Schizosaccharomyces pombe: one gene and its partners. The gene in region 2 interacts genetically with the main gene of each other region. Each region holds a gene or a part of one and is shown on either strand. Other genes may lie near its edges.

Region 1 (10,844 bases), 1.5 Mb from region 2:
AATCTCTTATTCATTTAGATCATTAAGAAGAGGCCATACTAGTGGGCATGCTAGTGAACACACTTCTTCTTCAAGATCTAGTCATGATGAATCAGATTCTATGTCCAGTTCTAGTGAATCAGACTCGGATTCTGTTTCCAGTGAATCAAATCCCAAATCTTATTCAGATTCTAGTACTAGTTCTGCAAGGTCGTCCTCTACTTCTGGTTCAATCTCCTTGTATGATGATTATTACCCTGCTTATTCCAGCAATGCTCCAAATACTGCAATATCTAATTATGTTAGCTCTGGTCTTTCATATTACGGAAATTCATCTATTATTATGAATGCTGTCGAATACAATCAGTTCTTTCCGCTAACCATAACTACTCTTATTGTTAAAAACAACAAGAATGTTGTTTCAAATCTTCCAAAAAATGTCTCATTTTACTTCCACTCTGACAACACGGTCCTTTTGAATGAGTATTACAAAAGCTTGTCTAAACTGAAGAATAATTTTCGTGGAATTATATATAAAACTACTCCTTATGGTAGCTGCAATGACACCGAGTCACTTCAAGTTGATACCAAGGGAAGCGTATGGTTTAGAGATGTTTCTAATATGGGAAGTTCTGGCTTAATCGCATTCGCGCCGTTTGACTATTGTGCTCCAATGCATGTATTGCAGGCTGTCCAGGATAGAGCAAAGGCAATACTATTTTATAATGCAAGCACTGCTAGTAATTCATTAACCAATTTTGACCACTTTGAAGATGCTGTAGATATGATTACCTTTGAAACATTACCAATGGCACTCATATCTTACGAAAACGGCATCGCTTTTGAAAAGATTCTCAACGAATACTCGGCTTCTTCTTTAAATTCGGTGCAGGATGGTGGAGCATTAGTCGAATATTTTGGAAACATTGATGCTACGGCCCGTTTGGGCGTTATCATCAGCAAGGAACCAAAGCTACTTGGCCTCTATATATTCATTGGTGTGTTATTGGGTTTAATCGGTGTCATAGGCCTTTTTATTTGCCTTCACTTTTCTGGTGCAATGAATGGATTTTATAGACTCTTAAATCGTCATGGAATTCCTGTTCAAGAAAGAATTGTGAATATTGGACCAAACAAACCAGAAAATCGTGTTACTAAAGAAATGCTCGATACTTTGCCCGTTAGAATGTTTTCGGGGCCTCATCTTGCCAATCCTAATGATGAGTTGGTTTATGAAAAGGATTGGAAATTAGACAAATCAGAAAGTTTTGATGGACAGGGAAATGTGGTTACTACAGCCGAAAGAGGGAGTAAGTATTTCGATCAGAGGGAGTGTACTATTTGCTTGTGTGAGTATTCAGAAGAAAGTCCTCTTTATCGAGAACTGCCATGCCATCACATCTTTCATCCGGCTTGCATTGATCCTTATTTATTAAAAAATTCGGATCTTTGTCCCCTATGTAAACAGTCAGTTACAAACATGTTGGAAAATGCTTCCGAGGACAATGTTTAAACTGCATATTTATGAATTTTCTCCATTGGTTGAGTAATTCCTGTACTTCTACTCATAAGGATAATTTTTTTTATAATCTATATTAGCATATTTTGTTCGACTCTCATTCATTTACGTTATAATATTTTGCTTGTCTTTATACGCATACGCATACTCATACTTATTGTTCAGTTCTTCCTACGACGAAGAAAACTTACGCTTCCTTAAGTTCATAATTTTCTTGCATCTTTTAATGGGCTAATTATCTATTTCTCATCGTTCTAATCTATTATTTGTGTTATCGTATGAATTCTATAGTACTATATAAAAGCTTACTATACATGTCATTGTTTACTATAAAAAGTTTAATACACATGTTGCTTGCTAGTTTATGATGAAGGTACAAAAAAACTATTAAGTATTTTACAAATTAGCCGGTCTAATGCTAAATTGCATATGTAAATATTTTTTTCTTTTCATTTAGAGACCTATTTTGATATTCTAAGAAAACGATATACAGTTATAATAATTGACATTTTTGGATTTGAGAAAATTAAATACTCTGAATTGTGTCTCATAAAATAGAAAAGCCATCAGTTTCTGCAATGAAGCCTTAGATAACTCCATTTTACACATTTATGCTCAACCAACATAATTCTTACATTTTCCAAATGGAAAGAAAATTTGCCTGTCATTAAGCAGATATGTGAAAACCAACTTTCTGATATTTCATTTTTGATACTTTCATTAATCTTTGAGACGTTTCTGAAATTTGGTTCCGTAATTTAACCGTGAAACTATGTTAACAATAACCTCAAGATGGGAATTCAATAAGCGTTTATCAGGTTCAGCAAAAAATTCGTTTAGAGAAGTTTCAATAAAGCGACGTAAAATACTTAAAGATGCCGAAACGTAAACATTTTCAAAATATACTGTAAAGTTGTCAAGCTTTGCTTGTCCAACTGATACTCTATTTTCGACTTTAAGGCCGCACATCATTAGAAGCTGGCGAAGAGTAACCATAGTAGTTTCATTAACATACTCACTAGCTCGAGTGGAAGACATCATGTTCGTGTAAGCAACGAATTTGGACGGCATGTTAGGTAACTCAGACCTATTATTCACCGATACATCTAAAATTCTAACACGCTTGTTGGTACTCAAGGTTGACCACTGTCTTTTTTCGTAATCATACCTTAAAATGTTTGGATACAGAGATGCAGCAATTACGCCACACAGAATTTCTGCATTTCCTGAGTTAATATCATGCTCTTTGGGGATAACGGCAAAACGCCGGCATATTGAACGTTTTAGGCTTTTGCAAGTATCAACATCCGAAGCGCCTAAAAGTTTCATATCCTTCAACTCAGAAAGCAGTTGGATTTTTAGTGATTCTGTCATACTTAAAGCCTCTAAATTTAAGTACTTTTCTTTGGCAAAAGAATCTTCATCAGGGCCTAAAGGTGAAAGGCAAATCTCTCGCCAAGCGCAGTAAGCATAATACATCAAAACTAAATCACTCCTGGTATTCTCCTTAGCGAATGATAATCGGGCTTTGTTTGCAGAAAATTCATTGTCAACAGATTTCCTAAAAGGTGAACCGATTGTTAACATGGCTACTATTGAAGAAGCGGCATCTACACATTTGTAGAAGCATCCCAAAACCAAGATTTTTCCTAAATTTGCATCAACAGGTAATTGCGACAAAAATTTGCCGAGTTTTGTTAATTTTTCGTTTTCAGAGAGCGCTCCCACTTGATGAAGCTTTTCTAAAGCACGAATAATATTGGTAGAGGAAGGTGGATCTAACGCCTTGCCTAAGACATCTTGTACATCACCCATTTGGCACATCTTTACTCGCAAAACAACTTCTTGCAGATTAAGTCTCAGAATTTCAGGTGTCTGGTAAGACAAAAATTGGGTATCATGTTTGAATTTTGAGAACAAATGATAGCAGATACCTTCCTGAACACGACCAGCACGTCCACTACGTTGCTTGGCATTGGCCTTAGATACAAATGTATCAGTTAACCGAGAAAGATGTCTTCTACTATTATAACGCATTTCCCTATGTACTCCTGTATCAATCACACAAGTGACATCTGGAATAGTAACACCAGTTTCAGCGATATTTGTCGACAATACAATCTTGCGGCACCCTTTGGGAGGGATGTTAAAAACGGACTGTTGCTGCGCAGAGGATAGTGTAGAGTGTAGCATGTATATACAGAACTTACGATGATTTCGAAACATAGGCATATCTTCGATAAGAGATTTTACACGAAGGATCTCCGAAATACCAGGTAAGAATACTAATACACACTTACTGAATTTCGGATCTCCTTCAGTGAATATATACTTTAAGAGATAAACGATTAAACCATAGTTAATGGCTTTCTCGTTATACCAAGCTGGAATTAGGTTCATTTCAACAATGGCATCCTCCGCAGATTTGTTTGAGATGCTCGCATCTTGTTGGTCGGTTTCATAGTCATCTTCCTCTATAACATCCTGTCCGGCAGCGTTACCGAACGACTTATCATTTCCAAACTGGGAAAGTATATCTTCTAAATAAAATCTATGCACTGGATATGTTTTACCAGGTATTGTGATTAAATTACTTCCTTCAAAGTATAACTGAAACTTTTCGGCGTTTAAAGTTGCACTCATAATTATAATCTTAAGATGAGGATGTTGTTTAAGTAAATGAAGTACATGAATTAAAAGAAGATCCGAGTCAATGCTGCGCTCATGAACTTCATCAATAATCAGATGAGTCACAGACTCTATTTCGTTTCCAACTTCTAGGAGACGCAGAAATGTACCTGTAGTAACATAAGTTAAAGGTGTTAAAGGCGTACATTTGGAATCCAGACGAACAGAATAACCAACAAGCTCATGCGAACGAGCTGAAGGAGGATTGCCGCCAAGTTCCTGAGAAACACGATTAGCTAACGATATGGCACTGATCCTTCGAGGTTCTGTAACATAAATTTTGACTGCTTTTCCATTTTTTGTAGAATTTTCCAACAGAAAAGCAGGAATTTGCGTACTTTTACCGCAACCTGTGTCTCCTGATATAATTAAGAGTTGACTATTATTGACAGCATCAATAATTGTCTCTCTAAACATCGTAGCTGGCAACTGATTACGGAAAACCTTAAATTTTTCGGCTGATTCACTTTCAAGTTGTTGTCGCCATTTGTTTAGTAAAGTCTCAGGTGGCCTTTCAAATCCAGAAAACTTGCCAATATTATCCATAGGGGCCATGAGTTTAGAAGTGGTAGCGCTTGTTGGGGTCTCCAATTCTTTGCTCTTTATAATGGAATCCAACTTCTCGGAAATCTTTGCATCTTCTGCTAAGTCAGTGTTTTGTTTTTCTGCAGAAAACTTTCCATAAACCTCTTTAAACGATTTTGGAAACGTTTGTAACGAAATTTTAGTAAAATTGGCCATTAATCTAAATAAAACTATCATTGAAATATAATCTGCAGCCAATGTGGCAGTAGGCAAAACAGTTTTCAGGTCGGAAAAAGTCTTCTGGCCGGTAGAACATCTAACAAAACAGGTGGACTGATATCCTATTTTGCCGATTGGCATAGTTTTGAACTCTGCTTTAATGTTTGATCCGATTTTGTGAAGCTCATATTGCAACGTAGTACTTGGACGTGTTCCAGATTTATCGGTAGTTAAAGGAAGAAGTGTGTAGTTTGCATTAAGTAAATCATTTTCAGTATCCTGAATGTCTTCTTCTTCTTGATTAAATAAATCTCCCATAAGGTAAGCATCGTCATCCGCTCTAGTTTCTGCATCGTTGTGTGGTGACATATCATTGCTTTCAGAATTATTATCATCATCTTTACTGGAGTCATCAGTGCTTTGAGAATCTTCTTGGATGCCATTTTTTTTTATTTCTTCTACAATTCTCTCGTTTTCTAATTTTTGTTGGAGAGCTTTTAACTTGTTCATAAACTCGATTCTGCTTTTACGAAACACAATTTCTGCCTCTTTAGACGAAAAAAGATATTGGCTAGTAATGCTTTCTAGTTGCAAATTCAGTGTACTAAATTCTTCTGAATTTTTTTTATTGGCAATTTGTAGTCGTAACATTTTCAGCTTAACTTTAACATATTGAGAAGTCAAGTCAAAAGGATCATCAAATGGAATGTCATCTTCAGGCAATTGGGTAAGTACCTCTGACATTGTGAGTGGCTTTGAATCCTTAGATTTCAATGAATCATCGACTTGATTAGAGGGCTGAGTTTCTTTATTAGGTGTGTGCTTTATATCGTTAGAAAAATCCTTCATTAATGGGACAAGTCTACTATTTGATTGAACCGGATTATTGGCAGGTAACGGTTCATCGAGCATCCTACAAAAAGTAGTGTAATTACTAGGTTGCACTTCGTAAGAAAAAGATGAATTAGAAGGTTCAGAATTGATTAAATTCTCTGTTATCATCCAAGTGATATATTCATCTATCGAAACTATAGGGATAGATGAGAAGGCGCCAAATATTTCTGATTCTTCAAACCCCATACCTTTAAGTGAAAGAAATGTAGTCCAAAGATACCGTTTCCTCAGAGAAAAACTGGATCGATTTGAGAAAGCATAACTTTCTTTTAGAGAAGATTTCCAAGAGTCCCGAAATGTTTTCAAAATTTGTTGAATTTCATCTTCGGTCAAGCCAAGGACGTTGTCATTTTTACGAAGTCTTATATCCGTTTGCCAAGAATGTAAAAATGACTTTGAGTTTGATAAAGAGGTATTTTTTATGACTTCAGTTTCGGCATCAATAGTTGGAAGCGTTTTGTCTAGTAGGAGATGGTCAAATGCATCAACGGTGTCAACCCCTATATCATTTGATTGATTCTCAACTTTGAAAGCATTTTTGGGCTCAACCTTTTGGGTTTTATTATTTTTCTCTCCTTTAACCTGATTTTTATTTGCCGGAGAGGAGGCACTTCGAGATGGAATGGATGTAGTGGCATACCCACGAGCAGAGTTCGAAGCTTTTGATTTTTTTTTAGCCATTATTTAGAACAAAAACGGTTTTTAAATCGGTCTTTAAAACAAAAAAATCAGAGTCTAATAGAAAATGTTCACAGTTCGTGGTTAAAATATTCTTCACAGGTTAGAATAACAATGAGCCAAAAAAGTAATAATAATAACAGTTAAAATAAAACTATATTGGACATCGAAAATTATTTACTCTTGAAAAGAAAAGAGTTTTAAACCAGAAACAAGGAATGATAAATTTTCATTTAATAAAAATATAATACAAAGCGATCAGATGGTTTAGAAATAAGCTGATTTATCAGGTTTTTGCTTTTTTTTTTCTGTCCAACAAATAATATCCACGAATAAATAGTAATAGGGAATCGCTGAGTACAATATTTTGTAATATTCTCTTGTGGGTTGTAGAGAGAAAGTGTATATATAACTGGATACCAATATACTCAATATATAATTAAATTTCGAAGTATTGGGGAAAAGAAAAATAAAAAAAAGAGATTAAATTAATTATTAAAGTATCTTATACAACCAATAATCAAGATTAAAATTGAATTATGGGCTGCAATCCATAAAAAGGCTATATGTAAGTTACGAATGGGTAAAGTATGAAAGAACGGCATTAAAGCAAATACATTTAAACAGGTTCTCTAACGTTGTTAGTGAAGTACCGATTTATTAAAAATTTGATTTCATATTCCTCCGAGGACTACATATACATGGCATTTTTTACCGCCTGTTATTTTCCAAAACTAGTTAAGCTTTTTCCAAAAAAATATTTCCCAATGGTAAATGAAAATCCCGACTCAGTCGCCTATACTGTTCAAATTTAGTACTTTTTTCTAGGGCAATACAATCCGTAAAACTAGCTTCCCTAAACTCCTGTGTTAGAGTAAACTCAATGTTTAGCTATTACAACATAATTAGATAGTACAGCTTGAATTATTGTTTATACATGCTTAAATTTTTAGTACCATTGAACATTGGGATTGTTGCCAGAGTGCTTATTTGAGATGTATTATAATAATATTATTTTAAATAATTTCAGCGTTCTCATTTGATCGTTAAAATTTAAGCTTATTTAAGCGGCTTTTGACAATTTATTGAGTAATTTGAAAGTCTTTGAAATATACATAGATATATTCATAAATATTTGATGATCTTTCAAAAATGTATAGATTTTTTTGAAGAATAGTAATAGAAAAGCTTCCGTAAATACTTAATGTATGAATATTTGGACTTCAAGGTTTTTGCTGGGTATAAAATTTACATGGAGCGCCTTCAAAACTGATATTACTTCATGATGCCAGCGAATATTATAAAAATAATTGCAAATTAATACATATTGTTCCATTAGGATAATCATTTCCAACGAACTATAGAAAAGGACACTTCAGCGAAATGTGATGCTTTTGGCTTCTCTTTTTTTATCAAAGAAGTGTTTGTGGTTGTACTCAATTTAAAGCTTTTAAAGGACCAAACTTGTCAATGCTGCCCAAACACTTTTCAAACCTATTTAAACAAAATTTCACACTATCACATGTATTTTTATATACTTAGTTTTTCAAAAATTCCAGTTGTTCTGTTCCACCTCCAAATCAAATATGCTCAACGTAATATTAACTTCCAACAACTTTTTTCAACAATCGTGAACGATTCTTCGTAGGCCAAAGTTGTCTAAAAAGTTAAAATTTAAAGAGATAGAGTCCGAGTTATGCATCTGTAGCGAATATCTGGTACCCGAGAGAAACAAAAAATGGTTTAGCAGACTAATTGGCATAACTAGTTAGGTATTTCATTAATGCAAATGTGTTGCCAAAACAATGAATAATTGAAGTGTTTGCCTACGCATTCTACGAAGCAGATAACAAACTAAAGAATCTTGCTAAAAGAGTATATAAAAAATTTGTTGATAATTCGCGCACGTGGTAGCCAAAATTGCTTTAACGACAGATAGAAAAATCTCATGCCAGTCTCCGCCAATATTTTCACCTTGAAATAAAAAGTCTCATATATAGGTCAATTTGAGATATAGCGATTATTTCAGAAGAGATTTTTTCTTTTTAGAGCAAATTTCTTTTTCTTTAAATCAATTTGGAGTCGTCCAAAGGGTGAAATTGAAAGTCGTATATAATCTCTTCTTTTGCGAAGAAACTTTGACTTTTTACATTTTTGTTTGTTTGTTTTGTTTTTCGGTTTTTTAGTAAAAAAAGGTGAAAAAGGAAAATACGTCGAATTTTTGATAAGCATATTTGAACGTTAAAGTGGATAAATAAATTATAGTATGGATTCGGTTTCTAACGTAAGCGTTAATGAACAAGGAAAGTTCAATGACAAGGAAGAAGGTTTTAGTAATTTAAAATCCTTAAAACATGTTTCCCATTCTGAAACCGATTTCGAAGTCAGCAACGATGAAGACAACCAACTTCTTGAATTGGGCTACAAACCTGTCTTTAAAAGAGAATTTTCTACCTGGGCCACTTTTTCTTTTGCTTTTTCAATTTCTGGGCTTTTCGCTACTGTCGTCACAACATATTCATATCCCTTGATTTCAGGAGGTGCTCCATCAGCTGTTTGGTGTTGGTTAATTGCTGGTGCTGGTTGTATGTGTATCGCTCTATCCGTTGCCGAGCTAGTTTCTGCTTACCCAACATCCGGTGGTTTATATTTTACTTGCAAGGACCTAGTTCCTGCCAGATCAATGCCCGTTGTCGCCTGGGTCGTCGGTTGGTTGAACTTGTTGGGCCAAGCAGCTGGTGTCAGTAGTACAGATTGGTCTTGTGCTCAATTGCTGTTAGCTGCTGTATCCATATCTACAGATTTGAAATACATCCCTACCAATCAACATATTGTAGGGGTTATGGCTGCTGTAATTGTCTTCCATGGCCTCGTCAATTCCCTCTCTACTCGTTGGCTAGACAGGATTACTCGTTTTTATGCCACCTTTCACTTGATCGTCCTTGTCGTGTGTATGATTTGTTTATTGGCCAAATGTCCAAAGTTCAACACTGGCAAATATGTTTTTACCGACGTGCAGGCAAGCAGTGGGTGGCATCCTATTGGCTTTTCTTTCCTTTTTGGATTCCTTAGTGTTGCTTGGTGTATGACTGATTACGATGCTACGGCACACATTGCTGAAGAAATTGAAAACGCCGCTGTTCGCGCCCCCAACGCAATTGCTCTTGCTCTCTCTATAACTTATGTATTGGGTTGGGTTTTCAATATTGTTTTAGCCTTCACCATGGGTACTGATCTCGATAGTTTGATCAATTCTGAACTAGGTCAACCTGTTGCCCAGATTTTCTACAACGTGTTGGGCAAGAAAGGAAGTATGGCATTTACTATATTATCTTTTATTATTATTAATTTTACTGGAATTACTGCTATGCAAGCCAACGCTCGAACTATATGGGCATTCTCTCGTGATCAAGCCTTACCATTCTCTCGTTACTGGTACAAGATTAACAAAACAACCACTACCCCTGTTATCGCTGTTTGGCTTAACGTTGTCTTTTGTATTGCATTAAATCTCATTGGTCTTGGAAGTATCGAAGCTATTGAAGCAATCTTCAGTGTTTGTGCAATTGCATTGGATTGGAGTTATGTGATTCCTATTGCGTGTAAGCTTATTTTTGGTAAACGATTAAACTATAAGCCTGGCCCATGGAATTTAGGATGGGCCTCACATTTTGTCAATGCCTACGCTGTTTGTTGGACCGCATTCGTATCTGTCATTTTCTTGATGCCTACAGTCCGCCCGGTCACTCCACAAAACATGAACTATGCCGTTGTCGTTCTTGCCGGCGTACTTTTGTTTAGTTTGGTATATTGGTGGTCCGGTGCTAGGAAGTCCTATATTGGTCCTCGTATTAACGTCGATATGGAATCTGAGGATCCATTCAAAACTGAGTAATTATAAATCTGCAAAGATTTCTTATTACCCTAAGCTTCGTCTAAAAATTACTCTTGTTGTTATTCTTAAAAGACATAACTTTTAAGTTAATTACAATTTTTGTTGCAGATCTACTGAGGTGAAACATTTTTATTATCTTCTTTATGCGATTAAACATTCCTAAAATGACAAGCATGGCTATATTTATTTTTTCGAATGCCTTTAGTCGGGATATTTATTTGTTCGAACGGCATACGAACATGAAGTTAGTTACTTTTAAAATTATCACCACCTTCTTTTTGTGATTTCAATCTATTTCAATCTACAATATACAGTTCAACCTTTTGTAGTCTTTCTTGTGATTTGTTTTTACTTCATAACTTAGTCAATTATTTTTCTAGACTCAAGAGCGAAGCCTTCCTTAATAAAATATCAATACAAAAATACATAATGGGACTTTCTCCAATA
Region 2 (6,943 bases):
GTCAGCCGCTCAAAATATATGAACACCGAACTAATAATGTTTTAATGGATTCTGGAAGAGGAAAACTATTACAAAAAATGGTAGCTGATGCAATCACTGAAGAAGGTTATGATGATTTTGAGACCATAGTTACTATTAATCATTTAGAAAACAAAATCGCTTCTGCTCGATTACTTAAGTTGGATGATGAGTTTTTAGTAACAAGCGAAGTTTATGTCAGACTATTAATGCATCATGGTCTTTGGCAAAAATTGGAGGAATTTTTAGGAGAGCTACGAACTCAAACAAAATGTTCAATTAAATTATCAGGAAGAGAAGTTGTTGCAAAAATGTTAGTGGTTTTACGACAAGCAGTACAAACTGATAATGAATTTGATCGTGCAAACAAATTAATAGAAAAATACGCATCAACCTGAAAAAAATTGAGGCTATTTTAAATTTGACTTTTCTTTCTTGCATTCTGTTTAAGTCTAATACAATACTCATTGGAAAAATCTGAATAGTTTTGAAAGCAAAATAATGCATTAATTTTATTCTTTTAATGTCTTATACTATAGATGTTATTCTAAAATAGTCTTCCACTGTGAATATTAGTTAACATTACATTCCAATAAGCAAGAGGAAATTATAAATGGTTTAAAATGTAAATCACATACCAAGTTGTCGCCAAGATAATGCACATTTTCTATGCCGATTCCTTTATTAGTCTCTTTCCTAAACAATTCAAGCATGTTAGTTAATAGTTCAAGTTATGAGTGTCAATAGTATATTACATTTCTTTAGCAGACATTTTTGTAAGCCCAATTGCAGCAGGGGCTTCCTTTCCCTCAGCTGTAACAATCACATATTGATCTTTTTCGATGTCATCAGGCAAATTGCCGCCTTTGGAAACCAAGCCAGGAATCATAATATTGGCACCCGAGAGAAGGAATTTGATAGCTCCTCTGTCTACTCGAACTTGAGTAAAGGCATCCGGACCTAGGCGTATTAGTATATATTTGAACTAAACACAGATATGTTGTTGTCGATTCTGACCAGCTAGACAAAAACCAGAACTCCAATCAAACGTTGCGGTTACGTTAGCTTATACTCACATTTATGAACAAGACGAAGAGAAGGAATGATAGGGCCGTCGAAGTGCTGGAAAAGGATAATTTCGCCATTCAAAGTATACAAAAATAAACGATCCTCACTTAAACAATATCAGTACGACATACTAAAAATCACGGATGCTGATAAGAACGAACCATTTTATTTGAGTTAGTTGTGATTTTTTGGGAATTAACTCATCGATAACTTGTTTTAAGTTAGGATAAGCTTGTACTAGTTTTGCTTTTATTCCTCTTTGAATAGAAGACTTGATTGGAGTAGTTCCCTTTATATCTTCTCTAGAGTTAAATCTGTTGAGGTTAGCAATCATCCTACAAAATTATAAATCCAATTTAGAGCAATACCGTTTGAACATATTATTGAGTATATAGGAGCTGCAGACCATTGCTACAATAAGTTACTAGGTTGTAGCCGCGGTCTCCTCTCGGATGATCCGCGGTGTTGCCGATTACCACCTCGAGGGTTACAAACGTTAGATATATTCATTCATATTTGTGCACGTTTTTGTCTTCTAACAGTAAAAGCCAACTGGTTAAGAGAAGACATAAATCTAGCATATTATTTATTGAGTAATTGTACACTATAGAGATCCAGAATAATATAAGATGACTTCGGAAGCGCCCAGGGTAAAAAATAAGAACCCAGCACCCATCCAAATCTCAGCTGAACAATTGCTCCGAGAAGCTGTAGAACGACAAGATGTGGCGTTTGTTCCTCCAAAAATTAATATCACTGATCTTGAGGAGCTTCAAGAATTTCAAGGTCGAAAACGTAAAGAATTTGAAGATGCCATTCGACGGAATCGTCTCGCTATGGGCCATTGGATGCGATATGGTCAGTGGGAATTAGACCAAAAAGAATTTGCGAGAGCTCGCTCTGTTTTTGAAAGAGCTTTGGATGTAGATTCTACTTATATACCGTTATGGCTGAAATATATTGAATGCGAAATGAAGAATCGAAATATCAACCATGCCAGAAATTTATTTGATCGTGCTGTTACACAGCTTCCCCGTGTTGATAAACTATGGTACAAATACGTATATATGGAGGAAATGTTAGGAAATATCACCGGTTGTAGACAAGTATTTGAAAGATGGCTTAAGTGGGAGCCTGATGAAAACTGTTGGATGAGTTATATTCGAATGGAGAGGAGGTACCATGAAAACGAACGGGCTCGTGGCATATATGAACGATTTGTCGTTGTGCATCCTGAAGTAACGAATTGGCTTCGTTGGGCTCGTTTTGAAGAAGAATGCGGAAATGCTGCAAACGTTCGCCAAGTCTATTTGGCTGCTATAGATGCTCTTGGTCAGGAGTTTCTGAATGAACGGTTTTTTATTGCTTTTGCAAAATTCGAAATTCGTCAAAAGGAATATGAACGAGCTCGCACCATTTTCAAATATGCAATTGATTTTATGCCCCGATCAAAATCTATGGAACTATATAAGGAATACACTCATTTTGAAAAACAATTTGGAGATCATTTGGGCGTTGAGTCTACTGTGCTCGATAAGCGTCGATTACAATACGAAAAGCTATTGAAGGATTCTCCTTATGACTATGACACTTGGCTTGATTTGCTGAAGCTCGAAGAAAGTGCAGGGGATATTAATACTATTCGCGAAACCTACGAAAAAGCTATTGCTAAGGTTCCTGAAGTAGTTGAAAAGAACGCATGGAGACGTTACGTTTATATTTGGTTAAACTATTGCTTATTTGAAGAGATAGATGTGAAGGACGTTGACCGCGCAAGAAAGGTTTACCAAGAAGCTCTCAAGCTTATACCCCATAAAAAATTTACATTTGCCAAATTATGGCTCATGTATGCAATGTTTGAGCTTAGGCAACGTAAGATTGATGTTGCTAGAAAAACGTTGGGTCGTGCGTTGGGAATGTGTCCAAAACCAAAATTATTCCGAGGTTATATTGAATTCGAAGACGCAATTAAGCAGTTTGACAGGTGTCGAATTCTTTATGAAAAATGGATTCTTTATGATCCCGAGGCTTGTGCTCCCTGGCTTGGTTACGCTGCCTTAGAGACTAAGCTTGGAGATAGTGATCGTGCTCGCGCTTTATATAATTTGGCTGTAAACCAGCCTATTTTGGAAACCCCAGAGCTTGTGTGGAAGGCTTATATTGATTTTGAATTCGAGGAAATGGAATACGGAAAAGCTAGAAGTATTTACCAGCAGTTACTACGGACTGCACCTCATGTTAAAGTTTGGATTAGTTTTGCAAACTTTGAAATTGCCCATCTGGAGGACGATGACGAAGAACCACCGAATGAAGAAGTGGCTTCTCCAACCGCTGTTGTGCGTGCGCGAAATGTTTTTGAAAATGCATTGGCCCATTTACGCCAGCAGGGTTTGAAGGAAGAGCGAGTTGTATTACTTGAAGCATGGAAACAATTTGAGGCAATGCATGGCACGGAAGATACACGTAAGCATGTCTCTTCACTAATGCCACAGGTTGTTAAGAAACGCCGTAGACTTGAAGACGGTTCATTCGAAGAATATTTGGACTATCTGTTTCCGGATACGGCGACTGATCAAGGAGATAAGATGCGCAAAATGCTCGAACTTTCGCGAAAATGGAAAGAGGAAATGGCTAAAAAGAAGCTGGAGGCCTAGATTACATATGACATTTATTGGCGCTATCAGTTTAATATTTAGTAATCGTGTAAAATATTAGTAATTAATTGTTTACGAGGCAATGGGTCATGTAAATGGACGTTGTTACGAAGTTGAGGATATTCAGCGCTTTGGACTGTTCGGATAATAATAAAATAACTGTTTTTGCATTTGAAAGGCCGGAATGGCGCGTAGAAATAAGACAAGCAATCCATATTAGTATTATTAACCTTGAGTTTCGATCTGAGTTTACTTACTAAGCAAGATAAGCGAAAAATTTATGGATATTATGTTGAGGGAATCACACTTGTAGAAATGAGAAAGTTGTAAACATGACAATTTTGAAGAATCCAACGCAATTCGTAAATAACACATTAAAATACAATAAAATGAAAAATCCAATCCAAAATATATTTAATATGTACATATTTATATTTATAAATTGATTGTTCTTTACCTTGCCCCATTGACATACGATCGAGTATCTACCAGTGCGACTAATTTTAGTTTTGTTACTCAAAGTGGCAGGACTCACAGGTAAAGAAGCGGCTGGTTTGGAGTTGTGCTGATCTGATGAACTTGTCAATCAAATGAGATTACAAAATCTGACATTGGTTATTTTCAGCACTGACAGCTTATTCGGACCGGTTTACCCAAATGTTCTGCTAAAGTGAATTTACAGAATACAAAAATCGGCTTATGCGACCAACGTATTAGGCAACATTTTGACTTAAAAGAAAAAATTCATACACAGATTCTGCTAAAAACTTAAAGACACAAAGATGTTCGTATGAATAAAAAATGACTGACTATAGTGAAAGAAATACCAACTGTTGCTAGTTAAAGTTGCAGCAAGTTTTTTGAGTTATTGTTGCCGAGATGTCGATCTCTTCAAAGGTAACATCCAGCATCAAAGATCGCCGAGAGTTCCCAACCATTATAGCCAGTAACAACCCAGCATACTTTGCGTTATGGTGCCTTAAAGGTACGTTCACTGACGATCGTTTTCAAACTCGGTTGACACTCGGGTGAAATGAAGTTGCCTTCTGTCAACTGCCACTTCCAAGAATCTGAATAAGAGAACGAGGATCCGGGAAATTTTCGTAAAAAGAATTCATTCAATTAAAATTAAGGGACTTGCAAAAACTATTTACTGTGGTTTTTAAGCTAAATCCTTGCGATTATAAGAAAACACTTATTCTTTGTTTATCAACAAGGCTGATTTAGCTTCACCACCGTTTTCCTTTTCCAAATCCTAACATTTTTCTTCGAACTTTACTTTTTTAATTGATGCAAATCATCTTGTGCTATTCTCTCTTCTCTTACTCTTGTCAGCTGTGATTTGATTTTCCACTAATCTTGTCTAAAAAGGTACTGAGCATATCCTTTATTTTTATTTTCAAGGTTATTGTGGTTTTCATCAAACTATTCTTATTCATTCTCTCTTTGTATCTTCGTTAATCTCGGGTTTTTTTTGTTTGCCACTTCTCTCTTTCTTTAGCCTCGTGATTTTAGCAGACCCCGGGTTACAACTTTTTCGTTGTTATACTTCCTATTGTTGAACTTACTTGATCTGTGTCGCTTCTCGGCTAAAAAAGTGCCCTTGCTCCTTACTTCCTTTTTCTTTTAGTATTTTTTTTGCTCCTTTATCAGTTCTTGACTTCAAGCTTGAGCTAACCGTAGTCCCTTTTACGTTTACTCGTTTTGAAGAATAATTGGTGTAGATTGCTTAAAAGGATTTCAAATTCGGCGGGACTTAAAATCTGCGAAAACAGTAATTTTTATTTTTTTTCGTTTTCGTGATTTTGGGGCACTACTTATTCTTCCTGCTATCGGCGTTTGTTCTTGGTTTTTCTCTTCGGTTATTGCGTTTACACACAGCAGTTTTGAAAATTATTGAGTAAAATTTTGGTATTCGAAAACTGCTTGTCTTTAACTAAAAAAAATATTATCACATCGTTCGTTTTACGCCAATCTTTGCGTTTGCCAGTAATTTATACTGCAGCAATTGTCTTTAAAAAACTTTATACGTGTTAAATATATTATTAAAGAAAGATGAGGGAATCGAACGTTAGCATCGTATGGAATAACAAAGCTTCTGTCACTATCAATACAGTCCTTTATGATCGACGTGCGCTTGACTGTGACTCCGAAATGTCATTAATGAATTCATTAAGCCATCTCGTTTATTTGACTTCGACTTCACCGAAAATTCGTGAGATCCTTACTATGGATGGTGGTTTGATGCGTTTAATGAATATTTTACGTGCCGGACGTGGACAAACATTTGCCCGAATGACAATATGGCAGCTAGCTCTTCAGTGTGTCGTAAATGTTGGGATACGTGGGTCTGAAGCTATTCGAATTCGTGTTGTGGAAGCTGGTATCGTTCCTATTGTTGTCACCCTTTTAGATGATTTTTTGTTTGCGCTTGAGTCCGTTGTTTCTCACCATTCTCGATTTCAATTTTCCCTTACACCTTCTACTACCCCTCCTCCATCATCCGCATCTGCTCCATTCCCCATTAATTCTAATATTAGCAATTCTCTTGATTCTGTGTCTCAACACAATTCATCTGCTGACTCTTTGTTCGTCAACGGTGATGTACCATCTCCATTTGGAGCTAGTACGGCAAGCTCTAGCTCTAGAAGAGTTTATTCGGTGGATTTACGGGATAGTGGAGATGTCCAACTTCCAAATCAATCTACGTTTCGACATTCCGTGAATCGTGATTTATTGGGATCAAGCTCTACCACTAGTCATGATCGATCCTCCGGCTCCATTTATTCAAATGATTCATTTCAAGATCCTCGTGTTCAAGCAAACTCTCCATTAACCATTCAAAGAATTTCATCAGCTGCACCCTCTACTCCTACTTCTACTGAAAATGTTAATTATAACATGACTACCCCTTCTTCTCCTTCATACTCTCGTCAAACAGGCCCTGCTAGTGAGACAATTAATGACGAGATAGACTCTCCAAATTTTTTCTTTCCAACTCCGCTTAATATTATGACTACTACTCAGGATTCATCACGGGATGTGCAATTGTCTTTAAATAATGTTCAATCACAGGCCTTGAATAATCGTCAGCGTCGTAATCAACTTTTACCTGGTGTTCCTTCTACATCTGCGTTATTAGATGGCCGCAGGCCCGAAAATGTAGTTGATTATCACGGGATTGCCTCATTCTTTGACAACTT
Region 3 (7,121 bases), 1.9 Mb from region 2:
TGTTATCTACAAAACCCAAGAGATCTGAAAACAGGTTTGGAGGTTGTTACAAATACCAATCTGATGTACTTCAATTCTAGACAAAAGTCAGAATTCGTGACATTAAAAGGAAAATTTTTAGAAAAACTAAATCGAGGTGAGGAGGCTAACCAAATGTATGCTGCAGCAGTACAAATTGATTTAGGGTTGCCAAAGGCATGGGCAGAATGGGGTCGTTACAACGATTTGCTTTTCAATAAGTCACCAGATAATTTGAGTGCAGCATGCAATGCCATTAGTTGCTATCTTCAAGCTGCTGGTACTTACCAAAGTTCTAAAGCTCGTAAGATGCTGGCAAGGGTATTGTGGTTATTAAGTTTGAATGACAGCGCCGGTACTATAGTTAAAGCTTTTGAATCATACAAAGGTGATATACCAGTTTGGCATTGGCTTACCTTTATTCCCCAGCTTTTAAATTCACTTTCTAAAGGGGATACTAAATGCGCACCTGTTGTTCTTAAAAAAATTGCTAAATCCTATCCACAGGCACTATTTTTCACTTTAAGAACTGCTCGTGAAGATATTGCACAGGTAAAACGCACTGAGATGGCAGCATGGAAATCAAATACGACTGATGAAAATAAAAGAAATGAGGATATTTTAAGCATACAATCTAACTTTCTTTCTACCAATCAAAGCACGAATGCTCCAGCAACAAATAAAGAAGATGGACTTTCTAAAAAAGTTTGGGAATATATTGATGAAATTATGTCAATTTTAAAAACTGCTTATCCTCTATTGGCTTTGACTATGGAAACTTTAGTTGATCAAATTCAAGCGAAGTTTAAATGTAAGAATGATGGAGATGCTTTCAGGCTAGTGGTAGCCTTGCTTAATGATGCTGTACAGCATAGCATTCGTTTGGGGATCGTAACGGATGAAATGAAACTTCCTTCTTCAACCGAATCGAACTTAAGTTTGTTTGCTGATAATATTCTCCCTGACTATTGTAAACAACTATTTAAGGAAGATTTCATTGTCAATTCAAACGGTTTGAAATCATATATTTTCAAACTAAGGAAATGGAGATCATATTTTGAGCGGTTATTATCTAAGGTTCCTAAAAAACAATATTTGGAACAATACAGCTCATTCTTGTGTGAATTTCATCATCAAAAATTTGATGAAATAGAAGTTCCTGGACAATATCTTTTGCACAAGGATAACAACAATAGTTTTTCTTGCATAGAAAGGTTTCTTCCTGAAGTGGAATTGATAGTAGGACATGGCGTTTGCTATAGAAGGTTATCCATTCGAAGCAATGGCGGAACTATACACCCATTTGTCATTCAGTATCCTTCAGCACGAAACAGCCGTAGGGAAGAGCGTTTTATGCAGCTGACCAGATACTTAAATGATGCACTTGCTTTAAATTGTGAGACTCGAAGACGTTGTTTGAAATTTTACATTCCTGCAGTGATTCCGTTGTCATCGCACATCCGGCTGTTAGAAGACCAACCGTCTTCTATTACTCTCCAAAAAATATACGAAATTTATTCAGAAAGAAATAACTTCTCCAGAGATGATCCGAAAGAGTTGTTTACAAACGAGTTATCAAAACATATGATGGAATTAAACTCCCAAATTAGTCAGGAATCTACTGATGCTGAAAAATTAGCTAATCGTAAACAATTGTTTAGTAGGAGAATCGGAATGTTTGAAAATATTCAAAAGCTTTATTCTCCGTCAACGATTTTAAAAGATTATTTCTCAAGTATCTTTACTAATTATTCCGATCTGTGGTTGTTCAGAAAAAATTTTTCATACCAATATGCTTGTTTTTCATTTATTACATACATACTAAGTATAAATAATAGGATACCTGCTAAGCTTGTTTTTTCTAGAGACTCTGGCGGTGTTTGGACAACAGAAGCGCTGCCATCTATGGTTTCTTCTACTCCAGTTTACCATAATGGAGAAATTGTTCCTTTTCGCTTTACCCCCAACATTAAAGAATTTATTGGAAAAACTTGTACTGAAGGTTTACTGGGCCCTTCAATAATGGCTATAGCTCGCGCGCTCTCCAAACCGGATTTCGATTTGGATATGTACTTGGGTATCTTTATTAGAGATGATCTTTTTTGGTGGCTTGCACAGCAAACTAAAGGCGTGCCGGCAGATTTCAGTATGCTCAACAAAGTCAATAGCAATACTGATCTTATAATGCGAAGGGTTGCATCATTAAGTCAGGTTGCTTATGGTAACTTACCAGTCAATCAAACAGCTATTGATTATTTGGCGCAAGCCTCTAGTTCCAAAGTTTTGGCACAGATGGACGTCTTATGGGCTCCTTGGCTGTGAGAGAAATGAAAATGTTTTTAATTTTACAAATAGACATTAAAAATAATTAATGAGACACACTTGATAGTGAATTTTACTGGGAATTTTTTATAAACGTAAACTATTTTGTCGTAAAAAAAATTGACGAATAATGACTATTGAAGTAAATTTAGCACTTTTCAAAGAAAGAATCATTCAAACGGATTTTTATCCAACACATTACTGCTGGTTGAGAACTTTTTAGCCCATTTGTTGTTATTAGTTGATTCTTCTTCCGCTTTTCGTTTAAGGTACAAAGCACTAGACTTGTTTCGCAGAGGATTCATGCAGAAATATAGCTTTCTGCCGTAATCTTGTGCCTTTTTTTTCTCAATCTTAAATTTTTTTGTAGCTTTCAAATTGGCAGAAATCGAAATTATCAAAGGTTGCAGTTCTGGAATTTTTTTTGCTTCTATATATTGTAAACAAATAGTTGGATTCGTATGATAAATAGCACCCAAAGCAATTATGCTGGGTGAATGTAAGAAATAGATGTCAGAATGCAATGTCTCAATTAGGAATTTTTTGGAAAGGTCATGACATTCGTAAAACTTTTCGACAGCAACTTTCGGAAGCACTGTTTGACAATCTAAAAGGAAGCCTTGTAAAGGACGAAATGGAAGCCAGACGTAAAGGTCCCATTTTAATGATTGACAAACGTTAAATTCGTATTCAAGAACTTCTTCGGGAGTCGTCTTGGGCATGTTTTTACAGAATTGTTCAATAGAGATATAATGATCGTTGCACTTGGTAGCTAAAAATAAAGAAGTAAACCTAATGTAAGAAAAACAATGTTAGCTTAATGGACTCGGCGACTTAAACATACGAAATAATTTTTGGACTATACTCCATGACAGAGTTAATTAGATAAAAGCGTTTAAAAAAAAGAATGGCCGTGGACTAAAATTTTGTGAGTAAAGTCGGAATGTTTATATTGAGTACAGTTTCCAAGTAATTGAAGGAAATCCGACCATGTCTAAACATACGCGAATATGAGTTGGTAAGGAAAGAGCGGAAGAAAGTGCGTTCAACTGGAAACTATAATAATTTACAAGTTCAAGTTCTTCTTCAACGGTAAGAGTTGGAGGCAAAACTTCTAAGGATGCTTCCTTGTTTTGTAAAGACAACTCTTCCAGCATTCGCTCACGTACAATATTCGTAAATTTTTCATTTACTTTAGCACGTGTTTTTGAAAGGTCTTCTTCCGTAAAAATCCAATCTCTGTAATGCGTGGAATCACGAAATTTATCGGCAGACATGTGAATAATGTAAGTAGAATTTACAGCACTCTATCAATTGAGGGTTATGCAAAAATTTAAATACTTCTCTATAAAGCCAGTAAAATAATAATATTTTTGAAATTTGGATACTTCTCTGCTATGAAAAACCCAAATCGCTCGTTCGCTGAGACTTTGTCGAGGACATCAGATACCCTGGATGTGGAGAAGAGAGTTTTTGCAATTAATGTGCGATGTGCAAAAAGAAAGCAGCACTATAAAGTTATATTAATTTAATGAAGAGTTTATTACATAAACTAAAATTTACTAATAAATAAAATATTGTTGAGTTGAAAAAAGTCTTGCATTCATGTTTCAATCAATTTGTATCAGCATAACATTTCACTGAAACGAAGCTGAAAAAAACAATAGTTATATAGGATTATGCTTTTTTATATTCCATTGAGGCATATCATTTAAAGCCAAAAAATTACCTGACAACGTTCAGTTACATATTTGAGTGAATTGCAAATGAACAAGAATTGGTAGTTAAATAAGGAAATGAAACAACATATTATTAATTAAATTTAATTGGAAGTCAATCTTTGAAATGAAACACGCTTTCTGTGCAAAAAACAGAAGTAATATTATAATCATACACAGGCAGCGGCGTATTAAGATTGTAGGCACCTTGGCACGAGATCGAGCATTCATACCCTTTAGTAGAATAAACACAAACATTAATTTCATGGACAATGTAGTCTCGCGGCAATTTCGTCTTAAAAATAATAATTGGAAATTATAAATAAATCCGAAAATTTCTCATCTCCTCACTCTTTCCCCAGTTCTCTTAATCTATTTTCGTAATATGATGAACATGTAGTAAATATTGCTATATAAACTATATAAACAATACAACGTAAACCTGGTAAAATGTACAGGAGACCGAGATATTAAATAGTGTCTGTAGCAAAGTTGCAACCAAACTGAGGTCGGAATTGAGTTCTAAAAAGCTGAAAAGGAAAATATAAATATAAAATGAGCCAGAATATGCTCCGAGATTTAGAAAGAATCTATTATAAGTTTCTGTTTGTTCAAAGATTCTTCGCAAATAAATATCCACAAGTAAGTATCATCCTTTTTTAAGTCAATAAGGATTTAGGTTATCTCTAATTAAATCTTTTCTCTACTGTCATAAAAAAATGGATAAAAACTTATGTATATATTAAACATCGCCTAAATACGTAAAAGAGGATAGTGATGTCGATATTATTCGATAGATTCTGATACGGGGATCTAATATTCTTACAGTATTTGCTTAAGTCTCGAAGTAGGTTCACAGCGATTTCGAAACATACCCACACCACCGTATTCAAATAGACATTGTTTTTTTTTAGTGGAATTCTTGTAAGTGTACTTTATTGATTTGCTCACTAATAAGTAGAATTTTTTTTTGATTCGTCGCCGATATCGATTTATTTTTTCAATACATTCCTATTCCTCGTATCCAGCTTAAAGTGTTTTCTAATTATTAGATCAAAATGGCTGAACTCCACCTTTCTTTTCCAGCTTATTCTCTTTGTTGGATTAATAACCATCAAATGGCGGTTGGTGGTGGAGGAGGAACTACAAAATCTGGTGTTAAAAACAAATTGGTATGTCAATTCGTGACTGTAAGTGAAGGATTACTTCATTATCTATCTATTTTACAGCATTATAAACTTTTTAGTATCCGGATTGTTAGCTAAAAAGATTATGTTTTACAATTGGACTATAGGCGCTAATTAGTTTGTCGAATTTAGAAGTTATTATCATATGAAGACTATGAACCTGAAGTTGGTGAAGGTCATACAAAATTTATAGAACATGGAGAAATCGAACTTAAGCATTCGGATGATGCCGTTATGTCGTTGGGTTATTTTAAAAATGTATGCAATATTTTTTTATTGCATAGCTAACGAAATTAAATTGTAGGAATTAATAGCCGGTATTAATAACACCATTGACGGAAAGTTAATTGACCATTTACGTTTATATGGAAGAAAGGATAAACTATTTGAGGAAAAGAACGCTCTCAGGTTAACCGATTTTGACAATGATGAACAATATCAAAGGTTATGTTTATTTGAGCCATTACACGATGCAATTTGTATATCTTGCACTAATAAAAGTTTTTTTATCATCTCCAAAAATGATCACAAAGTTTTGTTTGAAAAACATGGTTCAGATGTGTATGACGTTTCATCTACTGAAGACAAGGTAAGCCACAGCCTTTACTAAATTTTATTTATTAAATCCTTACCATTCTTTTGTAGCTTGCAATTGCAGTTGATGATCGCGTCGAAATTTATGATTGGAACACTTTTGAATTGGTGCAAGTACTTTACATGCCGGTAGAGCGAGCCACAGTACGAGGTGTTTCGTTTTTACCCAACCAATCCATAGTAGCTGCTTATAACTATATTAAAGATTCCAAAAGGTTTGCTTCATTGGTTCGATTTGATTACAGTTCAAAGAATCAACTTTGGAGATTTGGCATGATCCGAGATTTAAAAAATGCAAAGGGCGTCACCTGCTTTTGCTGTGATAAGGAGAATGGAATGATCATAGTTGCTGGAGCAGATTGCAGCATTCGTTTCATGTCTTTAGACTTAACGGTATGTGTTTACTTAAATATTTTTATTGCGATTTTGCCTTCTAATATGCATGCTAGAAATTGTCTCAAGTTTATAAGCATAGCCTTCCAGTAACTGATATGCAGTTATCCCCTGATTCTGAAGCACTAGTTAGTGTTTCTGCTGATGGCTTGCTTTGTCTTCAGTTTGTAGGAAAATTCAAAAATTTGAGCGCTGTCAAACTTGAGGATGCCGGAGTCATACTTCGATTGTCTCTTATGTTCCCTTTTGTTTTGGCGATCCTGTACTTTTACTTACAACTTCTTTTCCCAGATGAGAAGTTAGACGCAATTCATCGATTCTTTTCCTTTATTCTTCACATTTTTTCGAAATACACGATTAGAAACTATGACCTTTAAAAAAAGTAAAACCAGCTCACGTTTTATGGTTTCCTATAAAGATTTGGCTGGCACGTAACTAGCTTATTGTTTCCTGCAACTTTGCAGACTTTTAGAGTTCTTTTGTTTGGATAGAAGATTTATGTTTTGGGTGGTTTCATTTACCACAGTCATCAATGACGATATGAGGAAATAAAGAAATTCTACATAACTAATCATGAGTATGCCAATTTCGATCTGTACAATGACTATGCAACATTATAAAGTCTGTAGGGCATTTATGAAATTTTGCGTTGGACGACCTTAGAATACAAAATGTATGTGTCTTTTAAGTCATAAACATGTTTTAGGGCCAGCGGCAGTGACAGTAGTGAGGATTTTGAAGTCTTTTAAAACCAAGGAAATTGTATTCATAACGGTCAGTGATTAGCATATGAAATTCGTTAAGCCATTATGGTTATCAGATATCTGGGAGATCAAACAAGAACCAAAAAGTAAAGGCTTAGGCGAAATCAAAAATATACCTATTCAAA
Region 4 (6,340 bases), on a different chromosome or scaffold from region 2:
CGCTCCCACTACAAAATGCGCGTTAAATTGTATGCGACTTTTGACAAGGCTTATGCCAATTATATTTGAGGATAAGTCAATGTTAGAATGGTTTGACTATTTTGCGTGGACAGTTCCAAAGGATCCGAACATCAATACACCCCGAGGAGCAAGCTTTTTAAACACCGTTGTAGATTATCTGTTCCTAATCAATTTTACCATCCCTGCTCATAATGATCTTACCCATGGAGTTCACTACTGTATTTGGGAAACTGGGGTAGTTTATCATCCCACAATGTTGAAAGAGCGCTCGTACGAACTTCACCGTGTCGAAGTCCTCCGACTCTTACTTTCATTATTTTCCGAGGAAATATATCGAACAGATGGCAATGGAAGCAGTTGTTGTGCTTATGTTGCTTCAATAGCTAACAGGCGCTTAGTCCTTTGTCTTCTTTCTTCTCTCATCAATACAGCAATGCGTTTCAATACGATGTTTTGGAAGCCTGAGTTTCTTCCCCTTGACAACTCGGTAGCTCACATGTCTTTGATAGAGTATTGTTTTTCTGTCCTACTCATACTAATGTCGGAAGAAAACAACAACGGCACTCCTTGTTATAATAATTACCGTTCTTCAAAAAACACATTACCAAAAAACTATTTTAGCATTCTGCTTTCAAAACTTCAACCTTATTCAGATTTCCAAATCATCCTTGATGGAATGAGCAGACTGTTATATCCCCCTATGCAATCTACCATTCCAAAAAGAAGCTCATTGATTATGTTTGACTACTACCCTCTTGTATTAATTTTTTGCAAACTTTTTATTCATTATAACGAGAGGTTTTTTCATTATCTTATTGATACCGATCGAGCAATCGATTTGTTTATATTTTTGTTATATTTAAGTTTTGAATATCTCGGAGATCCTTCGACTTATAACCACTTAAAGCTTTGTGTAATTCTGTTAAAGCGCTTGACCGCTGAAAAATATTTTTGTAAGCGCTTAAACAAGCCATTTCAACAGCAGACCGCCTTACCAATTAGCATGCCAGTTCCTTTCGAAGGTGGTACTTACGCAGATTTTACCATTATTGCAATTTCATTACTAGTGCAATATACTAAAGATTATCATTCCGAGATTGCTCAAATGCTTTGCTGCTCGCTTTGCTACCTTTGTTTATACGCGCAAAATTTAAACTCACATTCCAGCCAGAGTTTGTTTGAATTGTTTCAATCTGCTTCCTATCCAGGCTTTTTAATTTCTAACGACGTCAATCACAAAATTTTAAAGTATGTTATAGGAGCTATCAACAATGCAATTCAATATGCCCAAAAATACAATGCACCACTCTTATACTTCTTTTCAATGCACAAAGATTACATTGAAGCGGTCAGCGCTTTATCGTTTGATGCCATTATGAGTGTTAGAAACTCATCCGCGGAAGGAGATTCTGCATACTGGACTCGCAATGGTAAAACATTTTCTTCAAAAGCGTTTGACTCCATATTGTTAAGCCGACTTCGATATGTTAGGTCAAAAAGTCCAACGCCATATTATCCTATAGAAAGTAGTGAATTTGGTTTCACTAACCTCAAAGACGTTACTAGCAAAGATGAAATTACTGATGGATTCGATAAAGCACTTCGCTCCAATTCTTTACGTACTCACAGGGATAGTAGGCCTGTCCAACCATTGTTGAAGCAACGTCCTCAATTACATAGAGCTCTTACAGAAAGTGCCACACTCCATGGCAATGACCGTTCGTTAGAAGATACCGACGAAGCGAAGGTAGAGCCAATTGCTCATTCAGTAGATTACACTTTTAAGCCGACTGTAGAATGGTGGAATAAATGGTGGCCTTCGCTGAACTTCCGAACTATGCTCGATATTTTCACTGACCTATCTCTCAAAATCAGTGATATGAAGAAAGCCGGTCATCCAGCTTCAGAAATCATGGCTATGATAAAAACTCAAAAATACCCAGCAACTAATCAACCATACATTCCGAAATATAGAACAAAGGAATGGAGACAACAATTGGCAAATTTTGCTCGTCTATTCGCCTGGCAAGTCTCATGCGATTTAGACAGTCATAAAAGAGAAGGGCCAGGCATCTTTGAAGGTACGGATGTCAAAATATTTGACTCATTTTAGACTTGAAATCTCCTTGAGGATTATGCTTGAGCGGCATATCTCCGTTTTAAGAATTGAAATGGAGAAATTTGAACTATCCTAAGTTTTGTATGTTCAAAGAGTCTGTTTGAATAGATACTTGGCTTTTTACATCTGTTTTATTTTTTTATTATTTCTTTTCACAAATTGGTTAAAAAAATGTTGTTTCGTTTTTCATTCAGAATTACCACTAGTATGTTACTACTTTTATCGTTATTTTACATTCTCAGTAACTGTTTAGCATTTACTAAAAGATTTTATGTATACACCAGGGATTTATTCTTTGTAGTTTAATAGATAATAAATGCAAATGCCAAACAAATAATGCTTCGCAATAAACATCGGAAAATCAACTCAAGTTGAAATATATTTTTTTTTCAATTGAGCACACTACTCACATAACCAAAGAAAAATCAAAACTATTGATTATTTAACCAAAACCATACTTATGTAGCTCCCTTCTAAAGGCGAAAATTTTTCGACGTTTTCTTATTTGCTCAGTAAGGTTTTGCAGCTAATCGTTAGAACACTATCATTATACCAATTAATTTAATAGAAATACTTACGCAATTGAGTAAGTAGTACATGAAACCGTTTTTTCAGAGTATAACGTTGTCGAGAATATTTATCGTCAGGAGAGAAACGAGCAGGATGCGAAGATTTTGTGACTCTTCCATCTGGAGATACCTTTTTTAAAGTATAAACACGCTTTCCCTCATCATTTAAATAATACATCAAATGCATTGTGAAAAAAAAAACGGATATTACAATTTTCCTATGGTGCTGGAAAGGTGTAAATGTCAAAAGTACCTCAACTTCAGGTGACTGTTTTTGTTGCTAAATTACGCTAAAGCATTATAACACAGACATAATCAAATATTAAATTATTTAGCGACTCTCTTCTTTTATTATTCACTAAAATTTAAAAACAATACTGTAAGCAGAATAAGCAATATGGGGTTAAGGATATAGCAATCTTCGTAAAATTAAAACAGCTATTGTCATTATAATAAATTAGAATAAAATAATTTCTTTTAAAATCCGAGTTTTCAGCTATTAAGAAAATGCGATTAATTATTGACCAAATCAGATCCAACTATTTAGTTTACATCTTTAACATACGTTTGCTTGGAACATTTAGTAATTGCACCTTAGTACACTTAACTTATGGGTTATTAAACAAGGGAGTTAAACCTCTATTTTAAGCAGTTCGTTTTTGATTGTCTTTCTTTAGGGAAATATTATTTTTTTTTTTTTATTGCGCATCTAATTAAGATAGATAATTAATTGATGTCTTTGCTTTAATAATCACTCAAAGAATTGCTCTTTGTCTCCTTTTCAAACATATCCATTAACGTTTGACTAAGTTTGTTCCATGCAACCTCCCCCATTGAATTTTCAAAAAACAAAAGTAAATTAACCAACCGCGGTAGAAGACTGGATTCTGATAAATCATCGTCAGAATATCTTTGTACTCTGATATATTTCCTTGAACAATTGAATATATGGCTCAAATTATCATTCCTAATGATACACTGTAATCCACCTAACTTTTGCACTGCCTTTAAGCTTGATGGGTAAATTATGTACGGACATTGTTTGTGATTATATTTTAGTAACTTCTCTGCTTCTCCGAGATCCAGCGTTTTCCCCACATCTGTAATATGCCAACAGAGCATTCGAATCGGGTTGATCAATAGTCGAGATATAAACCAGTGCGAACTGAATGATTGGTGGTAAAGGCTATTTTCAAAATTTCTTTGCATAAATTTTAAAATAAGTTCTTGTATAGCGATTCTCTGTTTCGGTGTAAGCGACTTTTGTCGCTGATGAACAAATTCTGACAAGTATTGAAACAACGTTGATTCATTGTATTGCTGACTATGTAATTTTGTCAGAGCGATTCCTTTCCTGGAACAGAAAAACAAATTTTTCAGATGAGTAGAAGACATAATTTGATACAGACCACCCATTGCAGCTACAGCATGTAGATGGTATCGTTCCAAATGGAATGGATGGGCAAATGATTTAAGAAATAAGCGGTTTGCCTCCTGTAATACAACCATTTTTTTTGCAATCATTAAATAAGAAATCAGACATAAGGTTGGCTTAACCAACAAGCTAGCGAGCAACGTATTAAATGAAGAAGAAAAAGAATTATTGAAAAGTTCTTTTTCGGATAACTCTTTCCTGGCGACGTTAAACTTTGAAACATATAAATCAAAATTTTGGTATATAGTCTTTTCTGATTCAGGAATAGATAATATTGAAATTGACTCGTTAGATATTAATTTATTAGGAATCACAGTTTTTATGCTTCGAGTAAACTTGTAAGTTTCTTTTTTTGTCTCCTCGACATTTATTGTTTCGTATAAAGAGTCAATCATGGCATCCCAAACGTCCACTGGAACAATTTTCTTTCGATTTTTGGAAGATGAATATGCTAATAAAAAAATTTTTGCGACAAATAAGTCATCTTTTTCATTTTCTACAAATGCAAGCAAGTTTTTTTTTAAACCCATCAAGTAAACAGCGTTGTATAGACCTCCAATATACTTAATTGCTAATAAATTTCCTTTCGTGAATTGTTTTGAATGATTGCTTGCTGTGCTAACAGCTGTGTCTTCAAATTTCATGATTTTTTTACCGGATAAATCTTCAAAAACTATTTGAGAAAACATGAAGTGCAAAGGATCAACGAGTAAGCTTGTGAATGCCCAGCATTTTGATGAATTTTTCAACAAAAACTCGTCATTGTGCGAACTAACTTCAACGTAAACATCTTTGAAGACAGTATTAGTATTGATTGATGATTCTTTGAAAGAAACTTTGTCATTGGCGTTGGAAAGTATGGAAGCAATCCTTATATACAACTTTTCAGATGATACGACACTATCGTCAGTTGAAAGCAAAATAACTTTCTGAGCTGAACAGTAAAAAACATCAGTCAAATATTTTCGTATGAAACTTTGAAGAGAAACAAAATGGTAAAAAATGCTTTCAGGAATCAAGCTCTTCCAAATGTATTCAGCTTCATTTATACCAGTTAAGCAATTGGATCGTCTGGCATACCAATAGATAGCTTGAATTGCGTTTACAACAATAGATGTAAGTTTTTGGTTCTTTCTAAAATCAATGACGGGGACTGTAGCAGTAAGGTCATCATGTTTTTTTTTTTGCCAAGTTGAGTGAAATCGCCTATTGCAGCAATTGTTTGAAACAATGACTGAATTTATCAACGCATAGGTGGTTGCTGTAATTTTGAAGAAATCATTAGTATGCTTATAATTTGCAAAAATAACCTCATCGGCCTTCGATATTATTGCTTTGATTGGAAATCTGTCGCGCAGCTGATGAGAAAGCAAGTTCATTACGGGCCGCTCAAAAAGGTGGCTTTCTGGATTTTTTTAGAAAACTATCGTATACTGTTAGCAATCATTGAGTATTGACGACCGAGTATTAAAAATCTAAAGATTTCTTAATTAGTGTATATGAAGGAGAGGACAAGGTAGGTCCTTTGAAGTAGCTTTGTTGAGAATTTAATACAACAAAAAAAACACGCTTAGACGGTGCTTAAATAGGTTCAGTAATTCTTTCCTTTTTTTTGAATTATAAATAATCCTTAGTGAAAGAGAAAGTAATGAAGCACGTCAAATAACAATTTAATCTTACAGATTTACGTGGATAACCCTAAAGACAGTAACGGTGACCTTTTGTTTTACATTGTTTTCTTACTATTATTCGAAGACAAAGCTGAAAGAAAAAATACTTTTAGATTATACTTTCAATTAATTAACTTAACAAGCTTATAAAATTACCACTAGTTAATTGTTCGATTACCACGGGTTAAGAGAAAAGTGCTATCGAAAAGAATTATGAAACATGGATTTGTGCAATTTCTACTGCTGTTATTTACTAAAGTCGAATAGGACACAATCAAGTGGAGCTGTTTATATCGGTTCCACACCAGATCCACCTAGAGTAGGTATTTTGTGCTATTATAGGAAACTAATTTGTTTTAGCGATTGCGGCAACATAATGGGGAAATAGTTGGTGGTGCATCAAAAACTAAACACGGGCGCCCTTGGTCGATTTCATGTTTAGTTTACGGCTTTCCTAACAAAGTGTCTGCTTTAAAGTTCGAATGGAATTGGCAAAATCTGGGAATCTCGAGGTACACTAAAGATT

What was found.
Region 1: mutations in tma20 (region 2) and dhx29 together harm fitness more than expected from each alone (negative genetic interaction), as found in Schizosaccharomyces pombe (one large-scale study listed by BioGRID).
Region 3: mutations in tma20 (region 2) and mcs2 together harm fitness less than expected from each alone (positive genetic interaction), as found in Schizosaccharomyces pombe (one large-scale study listed by BioGRID).
Region 4: mutations in tma20 (region 2) and nop10 together harm fitness less than expected from each alone (positive genetic interaction), as found in Schizosaccharomyces pombe (one large-scale study listed by BioGRID).

Annotation. Positions count from the first base shown.
Region 1 is NC_003423.3:2,242,384-2,253,227, reverse strand, and holds dhx29 (ATP-dependent RNA/DNA helicase), read right to left. Parts: upstream 6,894-10,844; 5' UTR 6,506-6,893; coding exon 2,219-6,505; 3' UTR 1,924-2,218; downstream 1-1,923. Other genes in the region: SPOM_SPBC15C4.06C (ubiquitin-protein ligase E3), read left to right, coding at 1-1,492; SPOM_SPBC15C4.04C (amino-acid permease), read left to right, coding at 8,769-10,397.
Region 2 is NC_003423.3:3,767,830-3,774,772, reverse strand, and holds tma20 (RNA-binding protein Tma20), read right to left. Parts: upstream 1,477-6,943; 5' UTR 1,466-1,476; coding exon 1,455-1,465; exon of another isoform or gene 1,401-1,454; coding exon 1,248-1,400; exon of another isoform or gene 1,193-1,247; coding exon 1,095-1,192; exon of another isoform or gene 979-1,094; coding exon 774-978; intron 715-773; coding exon 657-714; intron 636-656; exon of another isoform or gene 582-635; coding exon 561-581; 3' UTR 501-560; downstream 1-500. Other genes in the region: histone chaperone Hip1, read left to right, coding at 1-416; protein Cwf4, read left to right, coding at 1,716-3,740; armadillo-type fold protein, zf-MYND type zinc finger protein, Mub1-Rad6-Ubr2 ubiquitin ligase complex Mub1, read left to right, coding at 5,796-6,943. UniProt on the Schizosaccharomyces pombe protein: Involved in translation.
Region 3 is NC_003423.3:1,889,652-1,896,772, reverse strand, and holds mcs2 (transcription factor TFIIH complex cyclin Mcs2), read right to left. Parts: upstream 3,794-7,121; 5' UTR 3,618-3,793; coding exon 3,345-3,617; exon of another isoform or gene 3,259-3,344; coding exon 3,185-3,258; exon of another isoform or gene 3,133-3,184; coding exon 2,511-3,132; 3' UTR 2,365-2,510; downstream 1-2,364. Other genes in the region: SAGA complex, phosphatidylinositol pseudokinase subunit Tra1, read left to right, coding at 1-2,340; GDP/GTP exchange factor Spo14, read left to right, coding at 5,117-5,230, 5,378-5,503, 5,550-5,834, 5,891-6,232, 6,289-6,609. UniProt on the Schizosaccharomyces pombe protein: Essential for progression through the cell cycle. Possesses kinase activity that can be detected when myelin basic protein (MBP) is provided as an exogenous substrate.
Region 4 is NC_003424.3:1,632,609-1,638,948, forward strand, and holds nop10 (snoRNP complex protein), read right to left. Parts: upstream 2,897-6,340; coding exon 2,719-2,896; exon of another isoform or gene 2,667-2,718; coding exon 2,650-2,666; 3' UTR 2,503-2,649; downstream 1-2,502. Other genes in the region: SPOM_SPAP27G11.12 (uncharacterized protein), read left to right, coding at 1-2,134; SPOM_SPAP27G11.14C (uncharacterized protein), read right to left, coding at 3,454-5,523; structure-specific endonuclease catalytic subunit Slx1, read left to right, coding at 6,035-6,133, 6,175-6,340. UniProt on the Schizosaccharomyces pombe protein: Non-catalytic component of the H/ACA small nucleolar ribonucleoprotein (H/ACA snoRNP), which catalyzes pseudouridylation of rRNA and is required for ribosome biogenesis.